Linked DNA regions of Arabidopsis thaliana. The protein of the gene in region 1 purifies or fractionates together with the protein of each later gene. This does not show direct contact. Each region holds a gene or a part of one and is shown in the gene's direction. Other genes may lie near its edges.

The links. The genes of interacting proteins can lie anywhere in the genome.
Region 2: the proteins of AT5G14900 (region 1) and AT4G22285 fractionate together in Arabidopsis thaliana (co-fractionation; one large-scale study listed by BioGRID). This does not show direct contact.

What each region holds. Positions count from the first base shown.
Region 1 is NC_003076.8:4,821,864-4,825,605, reverse strand, and holds AT5G14900 (helicase associated (HA2) domain-containing protein), read left to right. Parts: upstream 1-2,024; coding exon 2,025-2,930; downstream 2,931-3,742. Other genes in the region: AT5G14910 (Heavy metal transport/detoxification superfamily protein), read right to left, coding at 410-538, 887-946, 1,210-1,263, 1,498-1,791.
Region 2 is NC_003075.7:11,777,841-11,784,542, reverse strand, and holds AT4G22285 (Ubiquitin C-terminal hydrolases superfamily protein), read left to right. Parts: upstream 1-1,847; 5' UTR 1,848-1,965; intron 1,966-2,385; 5' UTR 2,386-2,644; coding exon 2,645-3,004; intron 3,005-3,117; coding exon 3,118-3,362; intron 3,363-3,638; coding exon 3,639-3,723; intron 3,724-3,796; coding exon 3,797-3,982; intron 3,983-4,073; coding exon 4,074-4,241; intron 4,242-4,336; coding exon 4,337-4,474; intron 4,475-4,850; coding exon 4,851-5,022; intron 5,023-5,097; coding exon 5,098-5,272; intron 5,273-5,383; coding exon 5,384-5,480; 3' UTR 5,481-5,794; downstream 5,795-6,702. Other genes in the region: AT4G22290 (Ubiquitin-specific protease family C19-related protein), read left to right, coding at 135-290, 422-633, 1,152-1,344.

The sequences.
Region 1 (3,742 bases):
AAAAAGTAAAGATTTGGGTTATAAGTACAACAATGCATGAGCTGTGATTCACCATATCATCAACCACAGTACTCCACAATGTCAACATCGTACATGCATACATATACATAGTGACAAATGACAATCATATCCACACACAAAACTAAATGCATTGTACAAAGCAATGAACCTAAAAGTCTATAAAAATGCCAACCTCCATGCTTTGTGGGAACCCATATGTATATGACCCACTAATCAATATAGATATTTTCCATTTCTCTTTTATTTCAACAAAGAAAACATTAATTCCCACTTTCTAAAAAAAGTTACCACATTTGTTTTCTTTAGAGGAACAAATGAAAGAAATTATCCCTAGAATTGAACATTATGAGTTTCTTTAATCACAAAATGGAGGAAAAGGATGATTTCACTAGACAAGAACCTCATCGTCATCTTCAAAACTCAGATTCAAAGTCTGTAACTTAAATCCAGCTCCTTGTATAGTCTCCACCAAGTTTGACGCCACTCCTGTTGCTTGAACCGTTGTTTGCTTCAAAAGCTTCACATACATTGATCACAACATAAGCCAGATTCAATTGTACAATCAAACATAGAGATGTTGCTACGAGCAGTAACAGAACCGTTCATATAAAGGCCTTAACTATTCAAGGTCAGGCTCGAGGCTTTTGTTATACGGCCCCAAAGACTAATCCCCTGGTTAACCACCAAAATGTACAACAAAATGACATATTTGACCAGTCCAGTCCTTCTAAGGGTGTGCCAGCCATTATATCTCTAATAACATATTCAACATCTGTCCTTATCTATTTATATCCTCTAAACATATATGTGTACTGTGTAGGGGTGTGAAGAGACATGTAAAGGCAATGTTGGATGTAAAACATACCTCAACGACGGCAACACCTTCAGAAACCTGAACCTTTAAATTGGAAACTCCATCAATATCCTGAAAGAACAAAACAAGTATCAATTGGAACCTTTATATTCACTGTTTTTGTAAGCTATAGGTACTAAGGAAGATTTAGAGCGTGGAAAGAGTAAAGTGAACACCCAAATTCCAAGTTTAACACAACTACAAAGATTAAATTGAATTGAAACAAGTAACCAAAAGGGTTATATAATCCAAGAACCAGATGCATTCACAAAGATTCTCGTCAAGCTCCACACAGATTTGCTAGTTCAAGGAGAGATTACAAAGCAAAGTATTACCTGTAAGGCCCTTGTCACATTAGGAATAGCTGCTTCGTTCAAAGTTCCATCAGCCTTCATAATCAAGCAAAAAATCCAACAATGTTCAGACTCAATTTGAGGCCACATGAAATTGCAACAGAGTAATGCTCATAGTATCTTCAAAACAGTATCAATACAATTTTGCAAACCTCATTTCTAAGACCTTATAATACAACCATGAATCAATCCTACTATATCTATTAAAAAGCCATAAGTGGAGAATGAGGATGATAATCACACAAATTCACTGGACAGAGAGTGATGTACCTGGAAAAACATGGTGAGCATGTCTGAAGGAGAGACAGGAACAGAGACAGTCTCTTGCGGTTGCTCCTCTGCGACAGCGACACCTTCTCCTCCTTCTCCAATAGACGAAAGCTTCCTCAATCCAAGGCGATTTTGTTTTATAAACCCAGCAAAACTGCAATTGCGGCTATTTCCGATAGCTCTGGTCCGAAAGTTGAGGTTTTTCGACAAAGGAAGAAGGTGGGTCGAAGAAAGATTAGGGCTTTTGGTTCTGCAAAACGAGTGAAAGGTAGAAGAAGCTGCAATCGACGCCATTTTTCACTACTGACCCAATCTTCTTTCACTCGATAAGGTTGTGCGAGTTACAAGAGAAGAAGGTTTTTTCATTTTTGTGTTTTGCTCTTTTCTCACATTATCCACTCGAAGCAAGCCTGTAAAAAGACATAAATACCCTTTAGAAAAGCTCTCTTTCTGTCAGAAGGTTCATAAATTCATGGAGTAATATAATTTTTGACCATCAAACATTATATTACTCCTTGCAAATGACAATGACAAACCTTGCAAACACAGTTCTGACCTTGAAAGGACTTAGTGTGAAAAACTTGGTACGCTTCGATCTTATAGATTCTCCTGCTCCTGATACCCTCGCTCGGGCCTTGGACGATTTGTATCATTTGGGAGCACTTGATGATGACTGTAACTTGACAAAGACAGGTGAGATGATGAGTGAGTTTCCTTTAGACCCACAGATGGCAAAGATGCTCATAGTCAGTCCTCAATTCAACTGCTCAAACGAGATTCTTTCGATTTCTGCGATGTTATCAGTACCAAATTGTTTCATCAGGCCAAGAGGAGAAGCTCAAAAAGCAGCAGATGAAGCCAAATCTAGCTTTGCACACATTGATGGAGATCATCTCACACTTTTGAATTTGTTCCATGCTTTCTTGCAAAACAACCAAGACCCAAATTGGTGCTGTACAAAGTTCATCAACTACAGAGCAATGAAGTCTGCAGTTAGTGTTAGAGAGCAGTTGGTCCGGATCATGTTGAGGTTTCAGATTAAGTTGTGTAGCCCTGATTTCAACAGCAGGGACTACTACGTCAACATAAGAAAGGCCTTGCTTGCAGGTTATTTCATGCAAGTGGCTCACCTAGAACGCACTGGCCACTACTTGACTTTCAGAGATAAGGATGACCAAGTGGTGCACTTGCATCCTTCCAATTGCTTGGATCACAAACCAGAGTGGGTAGTTTACAACGAATACGTTTTCACTAGCCGAAATTTCATCCGAACCGTCACACATATTCGCGGTGAATGGCTTGTAGATGTTGCACCACATTACTATAAGCTTGCTAACTTTCCCAGTTCTGAGGCCAAACGAGTTCTTGAAAGGCACTATAAGAAGAGAAAACTGTCAGAAGAGAGGAGTTGTAAATTGTATAGCAATTCTTAAAGAGAAAATTTTGTTTTTAATTACATTAATTTTGTTTTTTTGCCATTGTGTAAGCTAAATATATCTGCAACTTGCAATGAAAAGCTTAGTTCCAACACCAATGAGATGCTTCCAGCTGCATAAAAACTCAGAGCTAAACTTTCACATCATTACCTTATTAGTTGAATAAGATTCCAATACCCATATCCATCCCTTAATTCAGGGTAATATGTCTAAATCACTAAGCTATTACCACTTATTCTAAAAGCATATTGTTCATCAATTTTAGCATCTCTGCAGAAGTAATAAGATCCATAACGCTATACCGTCACTTTAAATCATACTGCACCTAATTAACGGACAAGATGGACAACATTTAAAAAATATAAGATCCACCAACGATATAAAAAATGTACAAGTGAGTAGTAGCTAAAACGTAAAAAAGTTTCTACAGAAAAAAAAAAAAAAAAAAAAAAAAAAAAAAAACTGATTCAACCACAAGACAAGATCATTGTCTGAAACATTACATTGTGTTTAGTTTTCTGAACACATGAAACTGTAGGAAATCAGCAGAGGTACTTAGAAGTAAACTCTAGCTTTTGGCAAGGTTCCAAATAGGAAATTGCATAAGGTAATTCTACAACAATGTAATGTACCTGAAAAAAACATGGTGAGCATGTCTGAAGGTAGAGACAGGCACAAAGACAGTCTCTTACCGTTTCTGTTGCTATTCCTCTGCAATTGCAACCTTCTCCAACCCATTAAATAGCTTCCTTTCTCCTATTTCTTGTTGGATTATATACTGTATTTTACATAAATATATAAATATATGT
Region 2 (6,702 bases), on another chromosome or scaffold:
AACAGCTAGCTTAATGCGTTGGACAGACCATTTATATTGTCTGAATTAACAATGTTGATGTAGATATGGTAGTGTGGTCACTGGTGTGTCTTTTATTTGCTGGAAATGTTAAAACTTTTGTTATGTTTTTGTAGGTTGTGACATGTGGAAGCATTCCTTTGGAATCTTCGTTCCAAAGAACACCAAGATGCGTTTATGTATCCACGGAGTTGTATGAATACAAAGGTTTTGGTGGGAAATCCGCAAACCCAAAACATCGATGCTTTTCTTGGGGATCTAGACATGCAGAGGTTAGTTTCTTTTTCTCCTCTTGCAAAAGGACCATTTGTCTCAGTGATTTGGTCAAAGTTTTCAGATCTTATATGACAAGAAAAGATGGTGAAGTTTGATGATTCTTGTTGTGGTTATATTTCTTTGGCAGAAATATGTGTCGGATTTTTACATCTCGGATTTCCAATCTGGATTGCGAGCACTAGTAAAAGCAGGATATGGATCAAAAGTTTCTCCTTTTGTCAAACCGGCGACAGTGGCTAATGTAACAACGCAGAACAAAGATTTATCTCCCAGCTTCTTAAAGTGGCTGTCAGATCGCAACCTCTCAGCTGATGACCGTGTTATGCGTCTCAAAGAAGGGTATGTTATATTCAACACGCATCTTAAACTGTTCTTCGGGTTGCACGAAGTATCTTAGCCAAAATCTAAAAATAACGTTATTAGAGTCACTATCCAAACCTTGGATCCTTATTTTACCCAAATTACAACCTTTTAAACCCTGATTTCTTTAGTAGAATGGGAAGTATTAAACTGTTGATGTAGGCGTTTACTTTGACTGGTACCGTTGGTTATTCTTCCACATTAAAAGTCACAGTAATGGAAAAAGATGTGATGAGACATGTATTGTAGGAAGAAATCCAGCAACTATTGTCAACGTTAACGGCTTAAACATCTCACATCAGTGCATGATAAGTCTGAAGTTAAAGGGCTTAGAAGTTTGAATTAAGTCTAAAGCTAATGAGACCCAAAAGTCACCGTTTCTAGTACAAATGATCGTTTTTAGTACACAAGAAAGCTCATTGGTTTCACTTTTGCTGTCAAAGAGAATCCCTTTGTTACTGATTTAAAATCATATTTGATTGTGTGTGATGCAACAGATACATAAAAGAAGGAAGCACAGTGAGCGTGATGGGGATGGTAAGAAGGCACGACAACGTTCTGATGATAGTTCCTCCGGCAGAAGCAGTCTCCAGTGGGTGCCGGTGGTGGCACTGCCTCTTCCCAACCTACGCAGATGGCTTAATCATAACCTGCGACGATAATCAAAACGCTGATGTCATTCCTGTCTGAAACCAATATGTATGTAATGCTTCTTTTGCCCGATATTCAAATATAAAAATGCTTAAACAGTTAGGCTCACGAGACTGAAGGAAGGAAGAGAAGAGAAGAGAAGAGAGGGAATGAGAGGACAGCCAAATTGGTTCAAAAAGAAAACCAAATAGGCTTTGCCTTTTACCTTATTAGCTTTTGTTTTTCTTTCTTAATTCTGTTTTTTTTTTTTGCCCCTTGTATGGGGTTTATGTTTGTGTACATAGAGCCCCAAAGTGTAAATGCTCTTTTCTGTTAAAATAATTATTATGTCCTATCCACTATTCTTATCCACCAAGGAAACCTTAGGCATCTCTGCAATAGGTGCATGCAATGTTGTGCTAGTAAACAAGTAAGCATGAAAGCCGCAGAGAAGCTGATGACAACAAAGCCCATGTAGAAGCCTTTGATTGGTTTCCATAGTGGAAACTTAAAACTTAAAGCCCAAATGTGGAAAATAAAAGACAGCCCAAAACTTACCCATTTAATTTACGGTCTCTCACTCTGCTTGTGAATAGCGAAAACACAAAACCCCAAACTCTCTCTACGAAGGCGGATGCACGCTTCTCTGTCTCCCTCCACTCTCGAGTCTCGTCCCCTCTGGTCAGTTTTATGCTCACCGTATGACCGATTAATATCGATTATTGGTTGATCTCATCCCCCTTATAGGCTCACATGTTTTGATAGTAATGAATTGAATTATCAATTATGGGTTTGGGATTGAATTCTTTGTTTTTTTAGTAAAGCACAACACTTTATGTTAGATTCTCTATCTGCTTTCATTGATGTTAGCTGATGGGTTTGTCCAAATTTCACTCTTTTTTTGTTATGTAATGAAATTGAGAATTATGGTTCTGAGCTAGGATCCATCCTTTCTTTGTAAAGGAGTGTACTTTATCTTAGATTCTGCATTGATTTCAGCTGGTTGGTTTGTCCAAGTTTCATTCTTTTTCTGATGGAAGTATCTTTTCAGTTTTACTCATGTTTACTTATCTCACAGTGGCTTTTTTGTTTTGTTTGCAGTGTGTGATTATCTTCTTTGGTGTTGTTGATGCTGGAGATCTCTTATTCAGATTGATCACGCCTGAAAGGTTTATTAGGATTTGGCAAAAGGATGGATAGAATCAACGGTCTATCAGATCTCTTCTGATTTGAATTCTAGGGCGTTTGTTTGGAAGAATCATTGCTTCTTTGGTTGAGGATCTTTGTGAAACGCTGGGATTTTGTGTTCTAGACTTCTAGGGTTTTTGAAGCAAGCTGTAGCATAAGGAAAATTTTGAGAATGAAAGGTGAAAGAGAAGTTAAGAATGGTGTTTCTGAGGAAGAGAGAGAAGTGAAGAGGAAGAGAGTGATGGAACGGTCTGATTCACCACCTCCACCACTAGGTTTCAACAATCCTCTTCTGCCGTTGGCTAATACTTACGATGATGATGATGAGGAAGAGGAGAACGAGCAGAAGAAATCGCAAGCTCGTGGTAATGGAGTTGCGAAAGGGGAGGGAAATGGTAACAAAGTGAAAGGAGAAGCTCAAGAAGAGGTCGATGACGACGAAGATGATGATGTCTCGAAGGGTAAGGGAAAGCATTCACGCCATGTTGAAGTTCGCCGTGATTGTCCTTATCTTGATACCGTTAATCGTCAGGTAATTAATTTCTTGATTGTAATCTTTGATCAATGGTTATGTTTCTGCTGTCTTCATTGTATAATCGTTTTTGGTGTTGAGTATCTAAACTCATGTTGTATGTTGAATTTCAGGTGTTGGATTTTGATTTTGAGAGGTTTTGCTCTGTGTCCTTGTCAAATCTGAATGTGTATGCGTGTCTTGTTTGTGGGAAGTACTTCCAAGGAAGAAGCCAGAAGTCTCATGCTTATACACATAGCTTGGAAGCAGGACACCACGTTTACATCAATCTTCTGACAGAGAAGGTTTATTGTCTTCCTGATAGTTACGAGATCAATGACCCTTCTTTGGATGACATTCGCCATGTTTTAAACCCAAGGTATATTAGATCTTGTGACTACTACTTCATAGTTCTTACTGCATTTTGTGTATTGATTTGTGAACATGTGAGCCTTTGCACGTAGTTAACAACAACAAAATTGCTTTGACTATTATCTCAATCAGTTTCTTCTTGCTAGTTCTCTGTATCATCTACCATCTATTTATATTTTTATTCTTGATAGCTTGAACATATTACTCTTCTTTCATGTCTTGTCAAATTTTCTTTGATTTTACAGTTCCTTTTTATGAAGGCTTCGGTGTTATCCATTTACAGGTTTAGTAGAGCACAAGTAAACGAGCTTGACAAGAATAGGCAGTGGTCTAGGGCTCTTGATGGCTCCGACTATCTTCCAGGAATGGTAATCCTTTCTCTTTGATTACACTTGATCTTGAAATTAATGTCTCCTAAAGGTTAAGCTTGTAAATATGTAGGTGGGGTTGAACAACATACAAAAGACAGAGTTTGTGAATGTTACAATCCAGTCGTTGATGAGAGTTACTCCTCTAAGGAATTTCTTCCTCATTCCTGAAAATTATCAGCACTGCAAGTCTCCTCTTGTTCACCGTTTTGGGGAACTAACTCGCAAGATTTGGCATGCTCGAAACTTTAAAGGACAAGTCTGACTCAATTTATGCCTCTCACTTTTAGTTTTTGTTATGCCCTCACCTGTTGAGGACCTCGCTAATTTAAGTCACCTTGCATCAACAGGTGAGTCCACATGAATTCTTGCAAGCTGTCATGAAAGCCAGCAAGAAACGGTTTAGGATTGGCCAACAATCAGATCCAGTAGAGTTTATGTCGTGGCTCCTCAACACTTTGCACATGGATCTTAGAACTTCAAAGGACGCCAGCAGTATCATCCACAAGTGCTTCCAGGTATGTGTCAGTCCTTTGACATGTCAACCTAAATGCAGTTTGATATAATTGCTTACAAAAAGCTGCATCTTCATGTAACCTTCTAACCATTATAGGGTGAGTTGGAGGTTGTGAAAGAGTTTCAAGGCAATGAAAACAAAGAAATCTCCAGGATGTCTTTTCTGATGCTCGGTCTAGATTTGCCACCGCCTCCTCTTTTCAAAGATGTCATGGAGAAAAACATTATTCCGCAGGTATATGGCTATTTCAAATCTTGAACGTCTTGCTACTCTGTGCCATTTGAAAAATGCATTTCAGTAAGGGGAACATTTTGATCAATAAGATAACGTGAAGTGCTAGAAAACTTATAATTCTCAATATAATAATGTCACATTTGGTTGAGATACAATAAAGGGATTCTTAAATAGTGCCATTGCAAATTTACTGTCCTGGAGTAAACTGTCTTTTTCGAATCTAGTTTATGACTTGGGAAAGTGTAGAATTCTCTGAGTCCTTGGTTGTTTGGAGCTCCTGTAGCCTTTATGGCTTGCTACCTCGTATATGCGTCTTAGAGTGTTTAGTTTGCAAAGTGAGGTTAGCAGAAACTAATTTCTTTGATGTTTGGGTCAGGTTGCTCTATTTGATTTATTGAAGAAGTTTGATGGAGAAACTGTGACAGAGGTGGTTCGGCCTAAGCTGGCCAGAATGAGATACCGTGTAATCAAATCTCCTCGTTACTTGATGTTCCATATGGTTCGGTTCAAGAAGAATAACTTCTTCAAAGAGAAGAACCCTACCTTGGGTGAGTCTATTTGGAATTTTTGTGACGTTCATGTTGTATAAGGATCCCTAATGCCAATTTTTTCCTATGCCACAGTTAACTTCCCAGTGAAGGACATGGAGCTGAGGGATTACATACCATCATTGCCTAGAGCACCAGAAGGCGAGAATGTGTGTTCAAAGTATAATCTAATCGCTAACATTGTACATGATGGTAAGCCTGAGGACGGATACTTCAGAGTCTTTGTGCAGCGCAAGTCACAAGAACTATGGTAAGCTTTCTCAATCATTAACTATTATTGTGTTTCATGTTCACAAATGCATGATCTAGATCTGTGCATAAGAAAGACATAAATTCATTTGGGGGATAATGTCCATTGCAGGTACGAGATGCAGGATCTTCATGTTGCAGAGACACTTCCCCAGATGGTAGAACTATCGGAAGCATACATGCAGATATATGAGCAGGAGGAGGAATAGAGCACTGGAAACAAACTGACTCCATCTGGTTTTAAGAGTAAAAGTGACCAGTTTAATCTTGGATTGAGGAGGAATGAGATTAGAACTCAAAAAGGGGATTCTTGAACCTCTTTTTTAAGGATAGAGAGAGAGCCTGTTGTTGCTAGTGATTCATCATAATGAAAAACCTTGGTAAAAAAACGCATATTGTATGAGTTTTGGGAAGAGCTTTTGGTAAAAAGTCTTCAAATTCTGCAACTTTTGAAATTTTGTAGTAAAATACACATTTGACTTTTGAGTTTCCATTTCCAAAAAATATCTTAAAAAGAAGTGTGTGTTTTTCTAATTTATTTGTATCTTAATACACAACCTCTCAGCCGATGACCGTGTCATGCGTCTCAAAGAAGGGTATGCTATATTCAACACGCATCTTAAACTGTTATTCGGGTTGCACCAAGTATCTTAGCCAAAATCTAAAAAGAACCTTCTATTAGAGTCACTATCCAAACCTTGGATCATTATTTTACCCAAATTAGATACTATCTTTAATAGTATATAGACTGGTTTATGTATACACTATCAATCTTTAAACCCTGAGTACTTCAGTAGAATGGGAAGTATTAGACTGTTGATGTAGGCGTTTATTTTGACTGGTATCATTGGATTTTCTTCCACAGTAATGGAAAAGGATGTGATGACTGATGAGACATGTATTGTGGGAAGAAATCCAGCAACTATTGTCAACGTTAACGGCTTAAATATCTCACATCAGTGCATGATAAGTCTGAAGTTAAAGGTGCAATGTTGTGCTAGTAAACAACAAAGCCCATGTAGAAGCCTTTGATTGGTTTCCATAGTGGAAACTTAAATCTTAAAGCCCAAAAGTGGAAAATAAAAGACAGCCCAAAACTTACCCATTTAATGTGAAAAGTGAAAACACAAAACCCCAAACTCTCTCTACGAAGGCGGATGCACGCTTCTCTGTCTCCCTCCACTCTCGAGTCTCGTCCCCTCTGGTCAGTTTTATGCTCACCGTATGACTGATATGGTTGGTGTTTGCATTGAATTATCAAGTATTGGTTGATCTCATCCCCCTTATAGGCTCACATGTTTTGATAGTAGTGAATTGAATTATCAATTATGGGTTTGGGAGAGAATTCTTTGGTTTTTTAGTAAAGCTCAACACATTATTTTAGATTCTGCATCTGCTTCCATTGATGTTAGCTGATGTGTTTGTCCAAAT